Macaca fascicularis: one gene and its partners. The protein of the gene in region 1 interacts with the protein of each later gene in a pairwise test. Links are inferred from orthologs where the notes say so. Each region holds a gene or a part of one and is shown in the gene's direction. Other genes may lie near its edges. The genes, in order: GMCL1, ELOA and CUL3.

Evidence for each region.
Region 2: the proteins of GMCL1 (region 1) and ELOA interact in binary tests that used the Homo sapiens proteins (3 or more experiments, as listed by UniProt). The two-hybrid records come from large-scale screens. The link is inferred for Macaca fascicularis from reciprocal best matches to the Homo sapiens genes GMCL1 and ELOA.
Region 3: the proteins of GMCL1 (region 1) and CUL3 interact in binary tests that used the Homo sapiens proteins (3 or more experiments, as listed by UniProt). The two-hybrid records come from large-scale screens. The link is inferred for Macaca fascicularis from reciprocal best matches to the Homo sapiens genes GMCL1 and CUL3.

Annotation. Positions count from the first base shown.
Region 1 is NC_088387.1:52,113,741-52,117,423, reverse strand, and holds the start of GMCL1 (germ cell-less protein-like 1), read left to right. Parts: upstream 1-744; 5' UTR 745-921; coding exon 922-1,181; intron 1,182-3,683. UniProt on the Homo sapiens protein: Possible function in spermatogenesis. Enhances the degradation of MDM2 and increases the amount of p53 probably by modulating the nucleocytoplasmic transport.
Region 2 is NC_088375.1:211,358,829-211,362,476, reverse strand, and holds part of ELOA (elongin-A), read left to right. Parts: intron 1-1,176; coding exon 1,177-1,357; intron 1,358-1,606; coding exon 1,607-1,718; intron 1,719-2,286; coding exon 2,287-2,459; intron 2,460-3,648. UniProt on the Homo sapiens protein: SIII, also known as elongin, is a general transcription elongation factor that increases the RNA polymerase II transcription elongation past template-encoded arresting sites.
Region 3 is NC_088386.1:120,534,117-120,537,864, reverse strand, and holds the start of CUL3 (cullin-3), read left to right. Parts: upstream 1-1,341; 5' UTR 1,342-1,709; coding exon 1,710-1,775; intron 1,776-3,748. UniProt on the Homo sapiens protein: Core component of multiple cullin-RING-based BCR (BTB-CUL3-RBX1) E3 ubiquitin-protein ligase complexes which mediate the ubiquitination and subsequent proteasomal degradation of target proteins.

The DNA of each region.
Region 1 (3,683 bases):
TATTTTACTTAAAAAGTAACAGAAGGGAGTCAGGGAGTGAACGCTCGCTGTCCGGAGTCCATCACAAGAGCAGCTCCTCCAGGCAGACACTTGTCAATTTTGCTAGGGCCTCCTGAAGGCACTTTTTTGAGTACGGACAGTCATGGTGCCAGACCCTATTCGGACATCCCACTGGCACTTGATAGGAAAGAAAAGGAGTGCCGGGAACGTTCCCATAACTTAACGGGTTCCTTTCACGTCTACAGCAGGGTAGGGCTACAGTTAAGGAAGCCCAGGAATCCAGCATAGCGCCTCATCCTAGGGCCCCTCTCACAGGAGGCCACGCCCAACAAAGCAGAGCGCGGCCCCAGCAAGCGCCGAGCTCCCGCAAGGAGACCAAATAGCTTCGGGGTTTTGCCACTTGCTTAGCACAGGCCCATAAGCACCGGGGGCTCAAGGCACCTTTGTAGAAAGAATGCGCGACTGAAGTTCCAAGTCTTGCCACTACAAAGGCGTGTGTGAACTACGGCTTAACACTGCGTCTACGCCTAAGTTCACGTTAGTTGGAAGCCAGGCCCACCGCAGGCCCGAAAACACCCGCCCGTACGAGCACGCCGCGTTGTGCGCAGGCTCCACCTGCCACGCACGCACGCCTGCCTTGCCCCGCCCCTTCCGGAGGCTCGCCACACGCATGCGCCCGCCGGCGCGCGCTTTGTTACGAAAGCGAGGGGGCGAGGTTCTGCGGTGCTAGCGCGCGGAGCGACCAGAAGCTGCGGGCGGGGCGGAGGATGGAGGCTGTAGCGTCCGCTGCAACGGTTGGGGCTGCGCGTGAGAAGGTGGCGGTGTAGGCATCTGCGCTCGGGGAAGGCTGGCGGCGGCGGCCGGGCCATGGCGGGAGACCCCCTTCTCTGGGCTCCCTGAAGTCTCGGGGAGCCGTGACCCATGGGATCGTTGAGCAGCCGGGTGCTGCGCCAGCCTAGACGAGCCCTTGCCCAGCAGGCGCAGGGTGCCAGGGCGGGGGGCTCGGCCCGGAGGCCGGACACTGGAGACGATGCGGCGGGCCACGGCTTCTGTTACTGTCCGGGCAGCCACAAGCGCAAGCGGAGCAGCGGGGCCTTCTGCTACTGTCACCCTGACTCGGAGACGGATGAGGATGAGGAGGAGGGGGACGAGCAGCAGCGGCTCCTCAACACCCCTCGAAGGTACGTGGGGGCACGCACTCGCGCGGACCCGGACCCGCACCTGTTGGGCCTGGGGCCGAGCCGGCGCCCGGTGCGCTTGCGGGGTGCAGCGCTCCCCAGCCTATGAAGAGGGGTCGTGCCCTTGACAAGTGAATGTGGAAGCCGGCCCGATGCCGGGCGGACGGGGGAGCGCCTTGGGAGACGCCTGGTGTTCTGCATTTTTAACCACAGACGCTTCCAGGGTGTTGTTACAGCCCCAAGATGAGGATGAGAAACGCCAAGCCCGAGCTCGCGTCTCGTTAAACCTTAGAGACGCCCGACTGGCTGGCCTTACCAGTCCACCTTTGCCCTCTCAAGTGGGTAGCCGCAGACTAAGTTGTTTTGCATCCGGTTGCTTTAGTACAGACACTAAATGTAATCTCTGAAATGGGCACTCTTACTGTCGCCCACTCAGTGGAGGGGAAATAATTGCACACAGGAGTTCTCGTTAATCGTAAAGGTGAAGTTTATCAATAGTGTACATTTGTTCCTAACCAGGAACAGAGTTTGTGCAAGTTTCTAGCAGTTGATGTCGTTGACCGTGGATGTACTGTATGTAGGGCGGTGCTGCTGCAGCTTGCTTACCTGTTTTTTTTTTTTTTTTTTTTTGATGAGTTGAAAGATGGAATATTGACTTGTGACCTGGAATTGGAATGTAGTTTATGGGTAGAATATATTCTTACACAAACAATTTGGTTTTTCTGCTTTTGTTTTTAAAGGTGATTTGGTAGGGTCACAGATGAAATTTTTTTAATGATTTCTTTTTCTTTTTTTCTTTTTTTTTTTTTTTTTTTGAGACGGAGTCTTGCTCTGTCGCCCAGGCTGGGGTGCAGTGGCCGGATCTCAGCTCACTGCAAGCTCCACCTCCCGGGTTTACGCCATTCTCCTGCCTCAGCCTCCCGAGTAGCTGGGACTACAGGCACCCGCCACCTCGCCTGGCTAGTTTTTTGTATTTTTTAGTAGAGACGGGGTTTCACCGTGTTAGCCAGGATGGTCTCGATCTCCTGACCTCGGGATCCGCCCATCTCGGCCTCCTAAAGTGCTGGGATTACAGGCTTGAGCCACCGTGCCCGGCCTCTTTTTCTTTTTTTATTTTTCAGACAGAGCCTTGCTCTGTCACCCAGGCCGGAGTGCAGTGGTGCGATCTCAACTCACTGCAACCTCCACTTCCTGGTTCAAGCGATTCTTGTGCCTCAGCCTCCCGAGTAGCTGGGACTACAGACACGCACCACCATGCCTGGCTAATGTTTTCTATTTTTAGTAGAGACAGGTTTCATCATGTTGGCCAAGCTTGTCTCAAACTCCCAACCTCAGGTGATCTGCTGGCCTCATCCTCCCAAAGTGCTGGAATTATAGGCGTGAGCCACTGCGCACCCAGCGTAAAATTAAACTTTATGAGCAGATTCAAAAAGGTTTTGCTATACAAGTGTTGCATATTGTAAAAAAGGAATCATAGATTAAAAACTCAATAGTTTGGTTTATAAAACCTTTTGTACCTTTTTTTATGAATATTTTTATTTATTTACAAAAATGGACCCCTACTGTGAATACTATTCAGTAACTTTTTTTGTTGTTTATTTGATTTTTGGAGTTTTTTTCTAAAGAGACAGGGGTCTCACTATATTGCCCAGGGTGGTCTCAAACACCTGGGCTGAAGCGACCCTCCCACCTCAGCCTCCCAAAGTGCTCAGATTACAGGTGTGAGCCACCATGCCTGACCCTGTAACCTTTTTGAAGAGTCAGTGTAGCATAGTTTTTTTTTTTTGGAAAATTTTTTTTCTTTTTTGAGACAGGGTCTCGCTCTGTCGCCCAGGCTGGAATGCAGTGGTGGGATCATGGCTCACTCCACCTCGACCTCACAGACTCAGGCGATTCTCCCACCTCAGCCTTCTGTGTAGCTGAGACCACAGGCATGCACCACCACACCCAGCTAATTTTTTTATTTGTAGAAACAAGGTCTCACTCTGTTGCCCACCCAGGCTGGCCTTGAACTCCTGGGTTCAAGTGATCCTCTTGCCTTGACCTCCCAAAGTGTTGGGATTACAGGTGTGAGCCACCGTTGCCAACCTGTGGCATAGTTTTAAGAGTTCAAATTCTGAGTTCTTGGCCAGGCGCAGTGGCTCATGCCTATAATCCCAGCACTTTGGGAGACTGAGGCAAACAGATCACCTGAGGTCAGGAGTTCAAAACCAGCCTGGCCAACATGGCGAAACTCTGTCTCTACTAAAAATATAAAAATTAACCAGGCGTGGTGGCGGGCGCCTGTAATCCCAGCTACTTGGTACGCTGAGGCAGAAGAATGGCTTGAACCTGGGAGGCGAGGTTGCAGTGAGCCGAGGTGGCACAACTGCACTCCAGTCTGGGTGACAAAGTGAGACTCCATCTCAAAAAAAAAAAAAAAAAAATCTGACTTCTTGTCTGTATTCTGCACTTAATAGCCTTATTTTCCTTATATGTAAATTGGAGATATAAATACCTGCCTTT
Region 2 (3,648 bases), on another chromosome or scaffold:
GCCTAGTCATGAAGGTCAAGGGAGAATTCTGGCAGCAGAGCAGCTGGGACCCAGGGTGGGTAAAGCACTTTGTGTTGACACTGACATCTGGTGATTGACTGGATGTCTCTTAAGAGACATCAAGATCTATCCAGAAATCCTCCTTAGGATATAGGTATACACATTTGATTGCATCAGCTATCTCTCTTTAATTCTGAGAGTTCTCTGACCTAACATCTTTTTTTTTTTTTTTTTTTTTTTTTTTTTGAGACAGGGTCTACCTCTGTTGCTTAGACTCTGCAGTACAGTAGCCTAATCATGGCTCACTGCATCCTTGAACTCCTGGGCTTAAGTGATTCTCCCAAGTAGCTGGGACTACAGGCACATACCACCACACCTGGCTAATATTTTTATTTTTCGGAGAGATGGACTCTTAGACTCTTGGCCTCAAGTGATGTCCCATCTTGGCCTCCCGAAGTGCTGGGATTACAGGCATGAGCCACTGCGTCTGGCCAATAACTTAACATCTTTCTTAGGTTGCCCCCTGCCATCACAGTTCAGCATACTGAACTGTGGGAAGTACCTGATTGGACTTGATCACAGTTCTACCCTTTGCTGATTTTCTAAAGGAAAAGACTGATCTTACACTAATTTTTGTGATATCCTGTCACAGCCACCAAAAGCAGCTAGCCTAGTGCCTCACACTTAGCATTTTTAAAATTTAGTGAGTTATTTTTTCCTAGAATTGTGGTATTTTAACATACTACTACGACAAAGACCAAAAAATTATTAGGAAACTGGTCACTCCTAGGTAATTAAAGAATCAGAAAAAGATATGGGGCCGGGCGTGGTGACACACGCTTGTAATCCCAGCACTTTGGGAAGCTAAGGTGGGTGGATCACTTGAGGTCAGGAGTTCAAGGCCAGCCTGGCCGACATGGCGATACCCCGTCTCTACTAAAAATATAAAAAATTAGCTGGGCATAGTGGTAAGCACCTGTAGTCCTGGCTACTTGGGAGGCTGAGGCACAAGAATCGCTTGAACCCAGGAGGCAGGGGTTGCAGTGAGCCGAAACTGCACCACTGCACTCCAGTCTACGCGACAGAGCAAGGCTCTGTCTCAAAAAAAAAAAAAAAAAGATAGTGCTTGTACATAAAAGTGCTTGTACATAAATGATGTCCTGGTTCTGGTTTCAGGTATTAATTGAAGAAACAGATCAATTATGGAAAGTTCACTGTCACCGAGACTTTAAGGAAGAAAGACCCGAAGAATATGAGTCGTGGCGAGAGATGTACCTGCGGCTTCAGGATGCCCGAGAGCAGCGGCTACGAGTACTAACAAAGAACATCCAATTCGCACATGCCAATAAGCCCAAAGGTAACAGAGACGGGAGAGCTGGGGTAGAACTGGCAGGATGAGTGTTCTGGTCAATAGCAGGGTCTTGGTGGGCTTGGCTGGTGTGGGACTGCTGGCCCCTACATCAGGTAGCAGGGTGGGTATTTCTTCTGCCACAGCCCATGCTACCCTATAGTGGGGTTTCAGGGCAGTGGAAAACCCCGTGGATTATTTAAATAACAGTAGCGTCTCTGCTCAAGAAGGCAGATGTTCATCTCCATAATTCTACAGGCCGACAAGCAAAGATGGCCTTTGTCAACTCTGTGGCCAAGCCACCTCGTGACGTCCGGAGGAGGCAGGAAAAGTTTGGAACTGGAGGAGCAGCTGTCCCTGAGAAAATCAAGTAAGAACTGTGTTCTTACCTGGCTTTTGTGTGCTATCAACCCTTAAGAGGTAGCCATAGCGGCAGGAAGCAAATTGCTTTTGGTGAAAGCAAGGCAGTGCAGAAGGTGGACTCTGGAGGCAGACCTCATCAGCTCAGCACTTCCCTCACCTCCCTCAGCCTCTGCTTCTTGGACTGCAGTGCAAGGTGATAATTTCTCCTGCCCTAGGGTAGTCAAGATTAAATGGAGAGCAAAGCCTGACTTATGGGAAACATTCCCTTATGCTTTCCCTTTTCTCATCTAAACAAAAAACACATTTCTGCAATGACTGTTATTTTGTCTAAGCCACATTAGCATTTTCAAAATACAGATTTATACCAAAACAGTGAAAAGTTAGTTGAGATTATCATTTATTCTGAAAGGATAATGCAGACACCTCTGAGCCACCACCAGAATCCAGGGTGCTAGGGTCCACTGGTCAAAGCCACAAACAGGGTAAGTCATCCTCACACGGGCCAGCTTCAGGCTCTTCATGCTCAGGGCAGATTTCTTGTGCTCATGACTAACCAGTGTTGTCCTGTGTTGCAGGATTAAGCCAGCCCCGTACCCCACGGGAAGCAGCCATGCTTCCGCCAGTAGCAACAGCTTTAACCCCAGCCCTGAGGAGCCGGCCTATGATGGCCCAAGCACCAGCAGTGCCCACTTGGCACCAGTGGTCAGCAGCACTGTTTCCTATGATCCTAGGAAACCCACTGTGAAGAGTAAGTAACTTGGAGTTCCTGCTCAAATATTATTTCAGAACTAGTTTTTAACTCTCAATGTCATTATTCACTGTATTACATTTTGTGGACTGCATGTTGCATGTGCATGATGCCTTGCACATAGCTGGTCTGAATGTCAGTCCCTCCTTCCCTCTGCTTTGTCCATAGTGCACTATATCTTTTAAATAATTATAGTGAGTCCAGGTGCGGTGGCTCATGCCTGTAATCCCAGCACTCTGGCAGGCTGAGGCAGGAGGATCCCTTGAACCCAGGAGTTCAAGACCAGCCTGAGCAACATAACGAGACCCTCTCTCTACAAAAAATTTTAAAATTGGGCATAGTGGTACATGTCTGTAGTCCCAACTACTCAGGAGACTGAGGTGGGAGTATCACTTGAGCCTAGGAGGTCGAGGCTTCAGTCAGCCTAGATTGTACCACCGCACTCTAGCCTGGATGACAGACGCTGTCTCTCTTTTTTTTTTTTTTTTTTTGAGACGGAGTCTTGCTCTGTCACCCAGGCTAGAGTGCAGTAGCACGATCTCAGCTCACTGCAAGCTCCGCCTTCTGGGTTCACACCATTCTCCTGCCTCAGCCTCCTGAGTAGCTGGGACTACAGGTGTCCACCACCATGCCTGCCTAATTTTTTCTATTTTTTAGTGGAGACAGGGTTTCCCCGTGTTAGCCAGGATGGTCTCAATTTCTTGACCTCGTGATCCGCCTGCCTTAGCCTCCCAAAGTGCTGGGATTACAGGCGTGAGCCACCGTGCCCAGCTGGGTTTTCCAAATATTTATTCTTTATATCCAGTTGCGTCTATTTTGTATTTTGTTAACTTTATTACCATAGACTATCCCCAGTATCCTAAGGGGATGTCCTAACTTAAGTCTTATTCTGTATTAATTGCAGGGCCTATGGGAGGGTAGGAGTCCTGGTTTGAGCAGCAGCTATGCTCAGATTAACCATTCAGGAGGCAGGCTGGCCCTCCTTAGGCAGTACTTGCAGAGCCACCTTAGACCTGTTTCTACACTGGACAGATTAGGGGTAGACGTGATGTTTACTGGTTTGGCTATTTGTGAGGCAGTTATGACTGAGTATGGCCTTTAGAGTCTGGCAAGGGCCAGGGCGCAGTGGTTCACACACACCTGTCATCCCAGCATTTTGGGAGGCTGGGGTAGGAGGATGCTTGAGCCC
Region 3 (3,748 bases), on another chromosome or scaffold:
GACATCAGGATTAAGTTAATTTAGGGCAAATTCAACCTTATAGTCAACAAATAAGTGTATTTCACTTTATATTAAGTTTGTTATGTAAAAGTATTAAAATACCAGCTTCTAAATGTAGCTATCCATCCCCCAAACAGATGCTTCTTTAAAATAGGAAGAACACAAACTTTAGTTGGAACTCACATATTCCCTTGCAGAGTCAGAAACCCAAACATAACAGCAATTGGGCAAGTAGGTAAATGAGGAAGTACAATTCATAATAAATGGACAGCAAAACCGATGAGTCAAATTAGACATTTTGACTATAAAGCGACCAAACGCCTCTCCCCAAAAACCAAAAGCCAAAACCTTTTCAAATATACAGCAACTGAATCAGACGGTAATTTTGGCTTTAAAAATCTACAATACTCTTGGTAATGCTAGAAATGATTTATCTGGTAGGTTAAAGTTAGGTATCTATCATTCCACTTAACATCATTTACCAAATGCTGCATTTCATTAATGGAGCTGTCAGTTTATTCTGATGGTAATGAAAAACAGGTTTTAACATTAATAAGCCCTGGGTCCACCAGAAAATAACAGTGAATCAAGAGGTCCTGAGGTTTATGCAGTTTAAGGTAACTCTGTAGATTAAATTTCCACCCTCCAGTCCTGAGAGCTGTGGTGTACACCCTCAGTCCGAATACCTTGTTGAGCATACAGGACAGTCATTTCCGACACTGCAGGTATCTCCTGCACAGACTCTTCATTCAAGTTGCTGGCTTCTGCTCAAGTACCCATCCCTAGCCCACATGCCCTAGAAAAACACAGGAACCAGTTCGGGACGTAGTTATGCATCCAGCACCCCACGCTACTCCCCAAGACTATCCTCCTGCCATCCCAGCTCAGTGGGGCCCAGCCCACTACAATCCAGCTCCCGCTCTCCGAACTTCCCCCGCCCACTCTCCCCACGTGACCAGGACCCTCCCAACCGCCGCCTCGAGTTCCACCAATCAGCAACCACCTCCGCCCAGAATCCGGGACCTGGCGCTCCTCTTTCAAAAAGGCAGCTTAATCCTCCCGCCCTCAGCCACGCCCCCTTTCCGCTTCCCCGCCCCGCCGGTCCCTCCCACTTCCCTCAATTCCCTGTTCCCCTCCTCCCCTCCGGTGGCGCCCTCCCGCTCCCGGGCTTCGCCCCGCCCCACCAGGGCAGCGCGCTCGCTCTCTTCTCGCGAGATCTGAGCGTCCCCGCCGCGGCCGCCGGGCTCCCCCTCCCGTCCTCCCACCTCCCTCCCCCGGCATCTCTCACTCTCCGGCTCTCCTCCCTCCCTCCTCCCCCCTCCACCCTCTGGGCCGGATCTCGTCTCGCTCAGGCGGAGGAGGAGAAGGAGGAGGAGGAGGACGACGTTCGGCCTGCGCAGTGAGATGTTTGTCCGTCGCCGCCGCCGCCGCCATCGCGGAGGAGCGCGATAAAGGGAGCAGAGCCGGGCGTGAGGGGGACCCTGCGGAGCCACCGCGCCAGCGCAGCCCCCCAGCCGCGTCGGAGCAGCCGGAGCCCGAGCCGCCGCCCCCGCCGCCGCCGCGGCTGCCCAGGGGCCGGCCAGCTCCCCAGCCCTGCCCGGGGGCCGCGCCGCCCCCAGCGTCGCCCCTCGCCTGCCTGCCCGCCTTAAATGTGACACCGGCGTCGCGGAGCGCGACCTGAAGCCGCCGCCGGGGAGGGGACGAGCACCATGTCGAATCTGAGCAAAGGCACGGGCAGCCGGAAGGACACCAAGATGCGGATCCGGGCCTTTCCGGTGAGTCTCTCCTCGGCGTCCGGGACCCCGGGGCCGGGGGCCGGGCCGAGAGCCGCACGCGAGGCCCGGGCTGAAGTCCCCCAACAGGCCGCAGGCCCGGCCTCCCCTCCCCCACGCTCGCCGGCCGCGGGGCGCGAGCCTTCCCGGCAACCGGGCGGCGCGGGGCCCCGGCGCGGCCGCCCTCCCGGGCCGTTCCCCGCGCCGGGAGTCCGGGCCTGGCGCCGCGCCCCCGTCCGGGAGTTGCTTCTTGAGCCGCTCCACGGGCGTCGGCTGCGGCCGGGGCCCCTCGGCCGCCCCACGCCTCCCCACGTTGCTGGGGTTGTAGGCCCAGGCTCCGGCGCTGTTAGCAGCGGCGAAGTCCTCCCTGTGTGGGGCGTGTGTGGAACTTTTCACGTGGGGTTTCGTTACACTTTCAAAAATTACCCAGTCTAGCTTGTAGGGTGATGAAGGGGCTGCCCTCTCACTCTGCCCCCCTCCCCAGGCGGGGCTGTGCCATCAACCTGCCCCCGAAGCAGTGACAGTGGTTCCACGGAATGCTCAGTGGTCATAAACTAGTAACATTGGGTGTATTTCTAGCGTCTTTCATCCTACAAGCCTCCTAAACACTTTACAAACTGTTGTGCAGGATTGCCTCGCCACTCGGAGGAAGGCCGGGTGGGAGGAAGCAACAGAGATCAAACCGGACAATTGGTTCTCCATTTCTCAGCCTTGGGAGCCCAAAGAATGAGTGTAGTCGCCTTGCAGAGTTGCTTTCTTTCATCACTTTCAGTGACAGCAAACGTGTTGTGTTCAGAAACCTTTTCTTTTTTGGCATTACGTTGTGTCGTAGCCTTGTGGTGTTTAGCATATAGGGTATAACTTTGGGTGTCATATCTGGTTCGTCCACACTATGGCAAGCAATTAAAATGTATTGTTGTTAACAAACTGGACATACTTGCCTATGTCGCTACAATAAAAGGCGTACGTCAAGACAGACGAACTAGCAATCGGACAGAAGATTTTAAAAAACAAAATTAGAGAAAGATCTTGGTCTTCCCTTCTTAGATTCATAAATACTTCGTATGATGTGCAGGCGAAAGAGGGAAGTTTGTTGTCACTTTTTAAAGAGAGCTTTTCCTGAAGTGCAGTTGCCTGAGAAAATACTTATATTAATATGATTGCCCCAGTTGAGTCAAGTAATTTAGTCTCAGAGAACATGAGGACCTCTCTGAATTCCTAAAATTTAAAAGGATACAGCTCATGCAGAATTCTGAAATTGCAAGAACATAAATACTAAAATCAGTGTGCGAAAACCTCTGCTTTGTGTAAATAGGTACGGTGTATTTAGGAGAATTAAGTGTTTTGATAATAATTAAAGATTTTTGGAATGTTTCGAACTTTTTTCTAAGTAAACATGAGAAATGTTGACAATAGAGTACTAACGAAGCTTACTAGTATGTTTTCCCTTATGATTGGGCACAGAGCTGGGTTATGAATTTGTGATTAATATTAATTTTCCTACTAAATTCTGATCACTTTAGAGTTTAGAACTACTTAGAATTTTATGAAGTTAATAGTTTTATACGACAGGTTTTCTTTTTCTTTTCTTTTTTTTTTTTTTTTTTTGAGACAGTTTCGCTCTTGTTGCCCAGGCTGGAGTGCAATGGCGCGATCTCAGCTCCCAGCAACCTCCGCCTCCTGGGTTAAAGCGGTTCTCCTGCCTCAGCCTCTGAGTAGCTGGGATTACAGGCAGGCGCCACTATACCCGGCTAATTTCGTATTTTTAGTAGAGACGAGGGTTCTCCCTATTGGTCAGGCTGGTCTCGAACTCCCGACCTCAGATGATCCACCCACCTCGGCCTCCCAAAGTGCTGGGATTACAGGCGTGAGCCACCGCGCCCGGCCTATACAACAGATTTTCTAGGAGTGTTTGCGGCCTTACACTACTCAATTCTTGAAGTCTTACGTTCTGAATAAGATTTTTTGCTAAAATG